3 linked regions of the Cricetulus griseus genome follow. The protein of the gene in region 1 binds, or shares a complex with, the protein of each later gene. Links are inferred from orthologs where the notes say so. Each region holds a gene or a part of one and is shown in the gene's direction. Other genes may lie near its edges.

Evidence for each region. The genes of interacting proteins can lie anywhere in the genome.
Region 2: Ppp2r1a (region 1) and Pdcd10 share a complex: the UniProt entries of both Homo sapiens proteins name them as parts of the core of STRIPAK complex. The link is inferred for Cricetulus griseus from reciprocal best matches to the Homo sapiens genes PPP2R1A and PDCD10.
Region 3: the proteins of Ppp2r1a (region 1) and serine/threonine-protein phosphatase 2A regulatory subunit B'' subunit delta-like are in contact, whole or in part, in a crystal structure (PDB 4I5N), measured with the Homo sapiens proteins. The link is inferred for Cricetulus griseus from reciprocal best matches to the Homo sapiens genes PPP2R1A and PPP2R3B. Residues at the interface, in NP_055040.2 of Homo sapiens: Leu10, Ile13, Ala14, Ile17, Ala41, Leu42, Arg46, Ser49, Glu50, Leu51, Pro53, Phe54, Asp57, Ile59, Asp61, Glu62, Asp63, Glu64, Glu100, Glu101, Thr102, Arg105, Asp139, Trp140, Phe141, Asp177, Thr178, Pro179, Met180, Arg183; in NP_037371.2 of Homo sapiens: Ser122, Ser124, Ile125, Pro126, Thr127, Phe128, Tyr129, Arg275, Trp277, Ser278, Ala284, Glu285, Arg288, Arg354, Ser357, Gly358, Ala359, Val360, Thr361, Arg362, Gly363, Arg364, Gln367, Lys368, Glu394, Arg398, Asp401, Leu402, Asp403, Gly404.

What each region holds. Positions count from the first base shown.
Region 1 is NC_048602.1:19,092,711-19,096,456, reverse strand, and holds the start of Ppp2r1a (serine/threonine-protein phosphatase 2A 65 kDa regulatory subunit A alpha isoform), read left to right. Parts: upstream 1-939; 5' UTR 940-1,020; coding exon 1,021-1,098; intron 1,099-3,746. UniProt on the Homo sapiens protein: The PR65 subunit of protein phosphatase 2A serves as a scaffolding molecule to coordinate the assembly of the catalytic subunit and a variable regulatory B subunit.
Region 2 is NW_023276806.1:78,252,459-78,256,204, forward strand, and holds the start of Pdcd10 (programmed cell death protein 10), read left to right. Parts: upstream 1-1,124; 5' UTR 1,125-1,276; intron 1,277-3,746. UniProt on the Homo sapiens protein: Promotes cell proliferation. Modulates apoptotic pathways. Increases mitogen-activated protein kinase activity and STK26 activity. Important for cell migration, and for normal structure and assembly of the Golgi complex.
Region 3 is NC_048603.1:17,809,395-17,813,140, forward strand, and holds the start of serine/threonine-protein phosphatase 2A regulatory subunit B'' subunit delta-like, read left to right. Parts: upstream 1-1,604; 5' UTR 1,605-1,754; coding exon 1,755-2,123; intron 2,124-3,636; coding exon 3,637-3,746. Other genes in the region: mucin-6-like, read right to left, coding at 1-595, 904-1,153, 1,258-1,375. UniProt on the Homo sapiens protein: The B regulatory subunit might modulate substrate selectivity and catalytic activity, and might also direct the localization of the catalytic enzyme to a particular subcellular compartment.

The sequences.
Region 1 (3,746 bases):
ACACAGGAAAGGGGAGAGGTTTCTACACAGATCATTCAACTCGGGAGGGACGCCTCGTCCACACAGCAGCGTTAGGGGCCACCTCTCCATACCTCCCCCGGGCTTCCCAGTTCTCGTGCCTCCACTCAGGGCCAGACAGAGACACACTTGGATCCCAAGGCACATCACGGATTACCAATGCCCACTCTCTCCGGAAGGGCGTTTTCTGTTTTAATTGTCTCTCTATTCTGAGAAGAGGGAGGGGGGAGGCAGGGAAGGGAAAAGCAAATTTAAAAAAAAATTACAAAAATAACCATGGGTCGCTAAGAGAAGATAATCTTCACAAGGCTGCAGCCAACCCTGCACCTTGCTCCCTCTCAAACGTGCATTTTTCAGTCTTAAGGGGACGTGACTGTGAGAATTCATAGGAGCCGGTAAGGGGGCGGGGGTGGGGGGGGTCCCAGCGCTGGGCGTACACCCGCAAATACCTTCCGGCTCGCTGACTTCTAACCAAAGAACTACATGTTCCTCAGCCGGATAGCAAGGGCTCGCCCAGTCCGCCCCGACCAGCCTGTCCTCCACTACGTCACTCACCGCTCTCCACACCCCACCTTACGCTCTCTCCGCACCGCCCCGCAGAGCCGCACCCCCGCCCCCCGCACCTCCCACCCTCGCTCCTCATTGGCTCAGAGCCCCGCTCGTTTCCGCGGTTGCCAGCGGTAACGCGAGGCGGGCACAATTTCGGTCGCTAAGACGCCCCACTTCCGCTTCCGATCGCCCGGCGGAAAGCCCAGCCCGCTTCGCCCCGACCAATGGAGCGTGGGAGGTAGGCGGGACTTGGTTGGTGTGGACCAAACAGACGCGACCCGGGGCGGCCAATGGGGGTGGGACGGCCCCTGTAGCGTGGCCCGGGAGCCCCCACGCCCTCTCGCGTCCTTCTCTCTCCCCACCCGCTCCCCCGCCCAACACGGCGCCGCCCCGCCCGATCCTGGATTCCGCCCGGCGCTGGCCGCAGCTTGACGGAGACGCCGGGGAGCCAAGATGGCAGCTGCCGACGGCGACGACTCGCTCTACCCCATCGCGGTGCTCATAGACGAGCTCCGCAATGAGGACGTCCAGGTGCGCCCGGGGCGCCCTGCCCTTAGAGCTGGGTCGTGGGGGGGAGACCGGGGACCTGCGGGGCGGCGGCGGAATGCGGGACGGACGGGGAGACAGAGAGATGGCTCCGGCTGCTCCGGGAGTGGCGGAAGGCAGCGGCGGCCAATCAGCAGCCGCGTCTCATCGTGCCGAGGGGCGAGACTCCATGAGACGGCGCTCCTGATTGGCCGTGGGCCCCAGCGGAGGGCAAGCCTCGAGGGTCCCTCCTGGGCGCGCGCGGCCGCCCGGGGAAATCTGTGCCCGGCGGCCCGAGATGGGCTGGGGCAGGGAGCCTGGGGCCGGCGGCCCGTCGGGTGATTGGCGGCGGCGGACTCGGAATGACCCCCCCCCCACCCGGGGGGGCGCGTGAGCCGCCGAGGAGGGGAAGCCCTCCTGGGTGCTGGGGACCTCGATTTCCCCATTGCTCCTCGGTGTTTTCCATCCTGGGCCCCAGGGGTGCTGATAACCAGGGCAGCAGCCCACTCCTCTCGGGCCTCCGCCTCGTATTGATGCAGGAGGAGGGGAGAGGAGGACGTGGAAAGGCATCCTCCTCTCCCGAAATTCGACTAGCCTAATTCAGGGACGGGTCACGTGTGCACACGCCACCCCACCCCACACCCCCTTCCCCAGGCTCGCCCCAGGCCGGACTTTTTGCCAAGGGAGGTGATAGTTCAGGTTGGCGGGAGAAGAGTGACCCAGGCCCAGGGGCTTTTAGTGGGTCTGCTGTGGTTCTGAAAAAAAAAAAGAGAGAGAGAGAGAGAGAGGTCAGACCTCAAGGCCTGAGGATGACCTTGTGTTCACGTTGTTCCATCGCCCCTGGCTTCCGTTTTCTACCAAATACCGGCTAATAATAGTCCTGGCTTACCCCGGTGGCTGAGGAGAGGTAGTAAAATAAAACTGGCCGCTTGTAAAGGCCCCGTAAATGTTAGCTGTTATATTTGAGGGGAGTGGCTTGTTGTGGTACCGTGCTCTGCGGCGGTGCCCCTGTTTCTCCTGGTGGTGCACTGGGTAACCTGAGGCTGCGCCCAGCCTCTAAGTCTCGTGGATATGATTCAGGTTCTGCTGCCAGACAGGCTGGAGCTGTATTTCCGGGCCTTGCACGTTTTGCTGATTGACCCAGGCAACCCAGTGTGAATCTCTTCGGTTAAATGGGAATAGCAACCTGGTTTTAGTGTCGAGTAAACACATGCGGTGTTACCAGGAATGTCATTGTTGGGGGCAGGCGTCGTGGTGCATGCCTGCAATCTCAGCACTCAGGAAGCAGGGGTGGTAGGTTCAAGGCTAGCCTAGTCCACATAGTGACACACTCTGTTGTATCAACAAAGAAACAGGCTGGTTGCTGCCCAGGAGCCAGGTGTGAAACAGGTAAAGAGAACTAAATAAATATACTACCACCTGTGAAAAGGGACGAGACCTGTCGGTGTTGCGATAATGAATCAGCAGTTGTTTGTTGGGCCTGTGTTCTGAGCTGTGCTCTGGGTGTTTGGGTACATCTGGGAGGAAAAGGACAAAAACTGGCCTTGGAAGAATCTACCTTGTAGTGAGGAGTGGCAGATTGTGTTGACTGTGAAAGGTTGTAAAGAGAAAAATAAGGAATATAGGGTGTATTGTTAGAGTAAGTGTGGAGAAGTCTTGTTGAAAAGTTGAGCCGGTACCTGCTTGTGGTCAAGGAAGGAATTGTGGGGTTCTGGGCAGAGTGCATAACATCTAAATGTTGGTCGAGGAATTGGACCAGTTCAGAGACTCCTTCCAGGATGCAATGCTTGAGAAGTTGGGGGTGAGGCTTACAGAAAGAGGGACTATACCTGTGCAATGACTGTAGTCCTCAGCTTGAAGCTATTTTTGCCACCAGGGATGTTTAGCAATGTCTAGGGATGTTTTGGTTGTCATAACTGGGAGATTGTTGCTGCTTTTAATGGGTATGCGTCAGGAATGCTGTTATACATTGTTGTTGTGTATAGGCCATCCCTCATGGAAGAAAAAAAGTCCCATTTAAAGACATTGGTACTAAGGTTGAGGGAAGCTCTTGGATGAAATATGCACCCAGGGATAGTAAGGAAGTTGGTTAGTTTAGGTCATTGTGCCAGTTTTGTAAGGCTTCTGTAACACTTTACCATAAATTTAATAGTATAGAGCAGCATAAAGTTTTATTTATGGTTCTGGAGATGAGAAGTCTGTCATAAGTCTCACTGGGTGAACATGACCTAAGATCTGGCAGCTGATTGATAACAGCCTAGCTTTGAATTCAAGCCACATGGCCTCACAGCTTTCTGCCTCTTCTTCAGCATTCACAGTGCCATCTTTCTGGGGGGGAAAAAAAAGGACATTGTTAACAAAATCAAAATTTTTGAGTGAAAGAACAGCTGCCCACAGGTGGCAGGGAAGCGCCATATTTAGGATCCCAATTCTTATGCATATTTGGTTTTTTGAGGCAGGGTTTCTCTGTAGCTCTGGAGCCTGTCCTGGAACTCGCTCTGCAGACCAGCCTGGACTGGAACTCACAAAGATCTGCCTGCCTTTGCCTCCCAAGTGTTGGGATTAAAGGCATGCGCCACCACTGCCTGGCTAATGCTTAGTTTCTGGTTGGGGGTTCATTGCTTTCCATAAAGTGTCTGCATCAGCATCCTTGC
Region 2 (3,746 bases), on another chromosome or scaffold:
AGCTACGCACCTATCTAGACACTGTCCACCTGGTTCTCAATTAACAGGGCTTTCTTCAATCTTGGGATCTCCCAGACCAGTTTTAATGGTGCAACTCAAAACAAAATCACTAACCGCGCCCTTATACATCAGAAGGAATTACCTTTTGCCTTTTTCTCCCAACTATAGTCCAAAATTGCACATCGTTCCCCTGAAAGGGGTTGCAATGCTATCTTAAGCCAACATAACACTCTTTCAGCTCTGCCCTGGCGTTCCTATTGTCAGATGCCGTTCTTCCCCCGGCGGTGTGCTGGCGCCGGCAAGGGGCACCCACGCTTACCTCCCGCACACCTGCACTCCCGGGCTCGGGATGCTGGAGAGGATGCTCGGCGGGCTGTGATCGCTCAGGATCCTGCTCCTGCCTCTCTCCGGGGAAACTACAGAGCAAGCAGAGCCTAGGCTTCTACTGAGACTCAAGCTCCGCCTTCCCCTCCTCTAGTTGGCCGGACCTCGGGCTCCGGCTCCTCCCTCTGCCGTTTGCGCAACCCGAGCTGCAGGCGGCGCGAAGCCTTACTGAAGCAAGTGTCTCGGCTCCTGGTTCTCTGTCCACCCCCCCCTTCCCCCCACCGCACCCACCCACCCTGAGTCGCACCTGGAGCTTCTCAGGTCAGGTTTAGCCCCCTCAGTGAGCCGGCCCAGTGTACACCAGAGTGGGCTGTCCTAGGGAGTACTGACGCTTCAGCCCAAGCGAAGCCCACGCCTCACCCTCCCTCCTCCACCCCCCACAGTCCCCAGAGGCTTCCTCGCAGCCTACCCAGGCACCCAACCCAGCTGCCCGTCCCCTGCCACCTCTGGTCCCCCGCCCCTTTCCTTCCACTCATCTGCGAGCCCCGCCCATCAGTGGGCACGGCGTCTGAGGGCCGGCCTTGCCTTCTGATTGGTGCAGGTGAGAGCCGGCCCCGCCCTTCCTCCGTTTCTGGGCGCTCTCCCTCTCCGTCTCCCTTCCTCCCGTGAAGGCAGGGAACTCTTTTCTTATTCGCTACAAGTGTCCCCACCTATCGCCCTAGGCGTTCTTGCGGGTCCTTCTGGGAAATGTGGTCCTAGGTCTGCAGGAAGTGCTGACGGAACTGGCGGGCGGAACTACGAATCCCCATCGGGCCTTGCGCGACTCCGGCTGGGCAGGATTCCGGACAACGCCTGGTTCCTCTCGGGTCCTTCCGGCGTCGCCGGAGTGAATTGATCCGGGAGTTGAAGAGGGCTCCAAAGGTGGGAAGTGAAGTCCGTGCCTCAGTTGCTGGTAAGGCGAGCTTTCTCGGTTCGGGTCCTCACGGCTCCGCCGGGCAGCGAGCGCGGCTTGGGGTCAGGCGGGGGCCGAGGCGGAGACGCTGGGGCTGGGCTCTGGCCGGAGGGCGGACGGGCGGGGAGCGGGGCCCTCTGGGCGTCAGCGAGGTCTCTACGCGAGGTGCGTAAAGCCGGTTTGGAAATGCCGCTTACCCGGCGCGGCCCGGCACCTCCAGGAAGTCCGCTGTGGGTGCGAGCGGAGGGGAAGGGTGAGGTCGGCCTCCCGAGTCCCCGCCGACAGAGGGGGCGGATGTGCTGGGGTGGGGTCCCCGGCAGGTGAGGCTGGAGCTGTGTAAGGCCTGGAGAGAGCGTGGGAGCCCGGGAGTCGGCTCCCGGAGTGACTGGGGTTATGCCCTTTGAGGAAAGAGGAGAGCCGGTGTTGACAGTTCCGACTCAGTTCCAGTTTCCTGATGTGGCCTCTCTAAGGAGGTAACTCTTAACTAGAAGTGTTTGTCCCTTTTAACTCTCATACGTCAGATGGCTTTACTCCTGAACTGTACTCAAAAGCGCTTTCGCTTTGGGATGCTTCTGAGAAAACTAAAGGAGTAAATGACGTGTCCAAGGTCACACAGATCTTCTGAATCCAGTCCGCTGAAAGTCCAGGTTCTGACCAGAGTTGTCTGCTTAGATAGAAAAGTGGGGAGTTGCTTGGTAGGTGCTCGAAGCGGATAAAAGAAGTTGCAAAGTTGAGTGTGCGTCTCAGAAACGTTTGGGAGGTGAAGAGTTGGTTGCTTGGGGTGGAGTGAAATCCTTCCCAAAGCAATCTTCTTTAACGGTTTGTTAAAAAGGGAAGGGTTGTTTTTTTTTTTTGTTTTTTGTTTTTTTTTTTTTTAGCTTAGATATTTACCCTTTTTCCGAAACATACTAAATGATAACACAACTTCCATGAGCCAAAAAGATAGGTAATATTTAGCAATAAGCTCAGCGTTGCCATTAAGAGAATAGTCCTTTCCTGATTTCTGAAACTAAGATTAAAGTACGGATGAAACTTTGACAAAACTTATTTTACACATTTTAATGTTTTCATTGAGTGATAATTAAATGCAGAATCATGGAGAAGTTATAACATGGTCGTTACCTGAAATGGCTTTTTTTTCTGTCTGAGGTTTTTGGTTCTCATTTTCTTCACTCCATGTGTAAGTAGTAAAAACCAGGACTTGTGCATTTTCTTTTTCTTGGCATCATCTGTGACTTTTAATTCATTCTTAATGTTAAAGAACGGGAAAAAAAAGGATGCCTGTATATTGAGTAAAAAGCAATGCACTTGTTTCAAACAAGTTGACTAATTATAGCTGATAGATATTACTAGATAGGTTGTTGATAGAATTGTACTTTTTTATTGAAGACAAGGTTCCTTTATAAGATTATACTCATAAACATGCATATTTATAGTTAGTAGGCATCATATTATGTAAATTAAAATATTAAATACATATATACTGTAAATAAATACACAATATTTTGAATGTTTTGCTTGCCATGATTAATACTAACAATTTATTTGATTTTTTTAATGCAAAACTTTTCTGGGGTCAGAAGAATCTTTGTTCCTCTATGGTTCAACTTAATATGGACTTGTTTTACTCTGACCTTTAAAATAAATGGAGAGGTATGGTATTATAGAATGAGACAGAAATCAGGAATGTAACACGCTGCATACATATAATACACAATAAGGAAGAAGCAACTAAACAAAAGGAAAATTATGTGGGGTTGATTTTGAAGTAGATTAAAATGGTGCCTTAGTTTGAGTGGGCCATATATAAGTCTAAACTTGTAAAGCAAGGATGCCAATATATTTTCTAGATGACTGTGGACATTTGCTGTTTGTGGGAAAGGTATGAAATGAGTTTTAACATAACTTTGTGGTTCTGGAAAGACTTTCTTTTTTAACTTTTTAAAATTTAAATTAGAAACAATCTTATTTTATATATCAATCCCAGTTCCCTCTCCCTTCCATTCTCCCATGCCCCCCACCGACCCCCATCCCATCCCTTTTCTGCTCCATAGAAAGGGTGAATCCTTCCATGGGGATCATGAAAGTCTGTCACATCATTTTGGGCAGAGCCTAGGCCCTCCCCTGTGTGTCTAGGCTGAGAGAGTATCCCTCTATGGGGAATGGGCTCCCAATGGCCTATTGGGACCTAATGGTCCATTAGGGATAAATGCTGTTCCATTACCAGAGGTCCCATAGACTGCCCAGGCCTCCTAACTATTCAGGGGGACTGGTTCCATTCTATGCTGGTTTCTCAGCTATCAGTCTGGGCTCCATGAGCTCCCCCTTGTTCAGGTTAGCTGTTTCTGTGGGTTTCTCCAGCCTGGTCTTGACCCCTTTGCTCATCCCTCTTCCCTCTCTGCAACTTGGATTCCAGGAATTCGGCTCAGTGTTTAGCTGTGGTGTCTGCTTCTGCTTCCATCAGCTACTG
Region 3 (3,746 bases), on another chromosome or scaffold:
GTGAGGAATGGGTGTGGGGTGTGTGTGTGAGGGGCGAGTGTAAGGTGTGAGTGTGAGGAATGGGTTGAGTGGCAGGTGTGAGGTGTGAATGTGAGGGGTAGGTGTGAGCGGTGGGTGTGAGCAGTGGGTGTGAGCAGTGGGTGTGAGCGGTGGGTGTGGGGGATGAGTGTGAGGGGCGGGTGTGAGGGGATGAGTGTGAGGAATGGGTGTGAGGGTAGGGTGTGAGGGGTGGGTGTGAGCAGTGGGTGTGAGCGGTGGGTGTGGGGGATGAATGTGAGGGGCGGGTGTGAGGGGATGAGTGTGAGGAATGGGTGTGAGGGTAGGGTGTGAGGGGAGGGTTGAGGGGGGAGTGTGAGCGGTGGGTGTGAGCAGTGGGTGTGAGCGGTGGGTGTGGGGGATGAATGTGAGGGGTGGGTGTGAGGGGATGAGTGTGAGGAATGGTTGTGAGCAGTGGGTGTGAGGGGCCAGTGTGAGGTGTGGGTGTGAGCAGTGGGTGTGAGGTGTGAGTGTGAGGGGCGGGTGTGAGGGGTGGGTGTGAGGGGCGGGTGTGAGCAGTGAGTGTGAGGTGCAGTCACAGGGTGCAGAGTTGCATTGGCTGCAGTCACAGGGGCGGAGTCAGAAAAGCTGAGTCTCAGGGGCGGAGTCAGTGGGCGTTGCAAAGAGGGCGGAGACATGGGGCGGAATCATAGGGGCGGAGTCAGGGCGCAGTGTGAAAGTGGGTGGAGACAGGTCGGTAGTGATAGGCACAGAGTCAACCATGGGATTAAAAGGGTAGAGTTATTAACAGTGGGGCGGAGTTACAGGGGAACGCAGTTGTAGAACACGTCATTTCCGCCCGGTTCCTGGTACTTGCCTCAGTGGTCAGCACCGCGCATGTGCAGAAGGCTGCTGCTTTTCCCGCACTGCCTCTGGTCGGATCCGGTTCCGAGTAGCCCGGATAGGACCGACGTCAGCGCGGCGATCCCAGGACCACAGGGTGAGCGTGTGCGTGAGCCTGAGGTGACCCCTACTGGTCGGAGGCGACCGAGCCCGTGGTTACCGGCGCCGCTGTGACGACGCAGACGCCATGTTTGTTTATCTCGTCGCGTGGATGACGCCTTCCTAAGTGATTGCCACGCTACGTTGTGACGTAGCACATGTTTGTTTGCGGCACCTATTGATGACGGACAGCTGCGCGACGTTGATTACGCAACGCCGTGTGTACGACCCGCCGTGATGACGCAGGCTCCATGTTGCCACCTACGTTCCTGAGTTTACCGTCGCCATGGTGACCGCAGCGCATGGAGTCATGTTCCCCTCGCAGCGTTGACTTGGCAATGCTCCCGGACCGAAGTCGCTCATGTTGCCCGTGATCGTTTTTGTTTACAGTCACCATGGTTACGTCGCGGCCTCCGCCGCCATTTTGCCCAAGAACCTTTGGTTCACCGTCGCCATGGTGACGCCTCGCCGGTGTTGTCGCCATGTTCTCGGCGCTGATTAGATGACGTATTTTCGCTTGCGCCGCTGTCGGCCATGTCGCCGGAAACCATGTTGTTTACAGTCGCCATAGTGACAGTGCTGCGGTGCCTCCGCCATGTTCCCGGCGCGGCACTGATGACGCGTTGTCCCCTGCGCCGTCGCCGCCGCGCCCGGTTTGAAGTCAGGGCTAGGTGCGGGCAGCGTTGTCTGCGAGTCCGTCCCCGCTCTGACCACTCATCCGCCGGTCCTGCTGTCCCCAGCGTCTGTCCCTCCCTCCGTCCCCCCACACCCCCGCGATGCCACCCGGGAAGCCCCTGCAGCCCGTGCTGCGCATGAAGGTGGACGAGCTCTTCCTGCGCTGGCTCAGCGACCCCGGCACCCAGGACGCCCTGCGGGACGGGCTGCGGCGGCTACAGGAGGCGGGGGACGTCGGCGACGTCATCACCAGGGGCGGTGACGCCATCGGGAGTGACGTCAACCACGGTGACATCACCGGCAGACGCATCGTCAGCAGGAGCGACATAACCAGCGAGAGTGACGTCACCTTCAGAAATGACGTCACCAGAGCTGATGTCATCAGCGGGGACCCCGGCCCCCACCCTGCACCGCCCCTCGGCATAGCGAGACCCGCGAGAGCCCCCAGGAGGACGGCAGAGTGGATAAGGGTGAGCGGGGGGGGGGGGGGGGCGGGGGGGGAGACATGAAGGGGTGGGGCCAGAGGAGGCTGGGCCAAAGGTCTGCGTTGGTTTAATGATATTGGCACATTCCTTACCGTGCAGCGTTTGCGTGTTGTGATGCCCTCAACTCCGTGTTTGGACACTTTAACATGGTCACAGATTTAATATATTTGCGCATCTTAAGACGCTGACACATTTAGCATGTGTGCGTATTTTAACATATGCACATAATTCAGTAATTTGCATATTTTATTCACTCGGGTTTTAATATTTGCATATCTTCATGTACTTGCATAATTTGATGTGCTTGTGTAACTAATATGGTTGCATATTTCAACACGCTTCTGTGTTTAACCGGATCACACATCTTAGTACACGTTTGTGTCTTTATATATTTGAATCAATGTATTTGCATCCTGTGATGTATTGGAAGACATGACCGCTGTACACCTGTCCGCACACACCAGTGAGACACTCAAGAGATGTGCACTAACACACACATGAGTTCCTACACACACACGTGTGCACCTACACACATACACAGGTATACATGTACACACATAAGCACATGTGCATGCTACCACACACACACAATCATAGACACACAGATACAGACACACACATGCAGCAGCACACACATGAAATACACACACACACACACACACGTGCATTTCTGTATACCACCACACACATACAACCAAACACAGACACACACACACACACACATAGACACACAGGGACATGGACACACACACATGTCTGTGTTAACACAGACACTGCACTCACAGAGTGACACACAGAGTCACACATGCACACCGTGAGATGCACAGAGTCACACAGAGACATGTACACACACATGCACACATAGATGCATTTAGACCCACAGGGATAGGAACACGCACGCACATGCACACACAAACCTAGACATAGCGATGTGCACACATGCCTGCAAACACAGACACACAGATATGCACATAAGTGCACAGTCACAGGCACACATACACACATGCACCTAGAAAGAGACTTGCATACCCATGTGCACAGACATATGCAAATATGTACTTCTACACGCCCAAACAGAGACTCACCCCCATACATGTGCACGCATACATACATACTTGCATGAGCACATGCGTGGACACAGACACCAACTGGCGCACACATGTGTGGACCCAGTTGCAGAGACAGACACACACATATGTACAGATGTGAGTGCGCATGCGGGCACACACATGCAGACACGGCCGCACACGCCCACCCACAGAGTCACGTGATGGTACACACATACAAGCACACACATGTAGACACACATGCAGACACGCACCTGGGTGGGTGTGGGCAGGACCTGAGGATGTGTTGAGACCGGCGTCTGTGTGGGTGGGTGTGGTTCACATGGTGGCATGTTGGTGGGGCTGCAAGTAGACCGGGCCGGTGGATTTGGGTGGGGCTCCCGGGACACTGTCAGTCACCACCCCTGACCCCTCCCCCTGTGACCCTGCAGGTGCGGACACAGGAGGAGCCCTCACCGCCCCCGCCCCCGGAAGCCCCGCCCCCCGGCGGCCCGCCCCCTGGCCCCTCGATCCCCGCCTTCTTCTTCCCCCACGGGCGCCC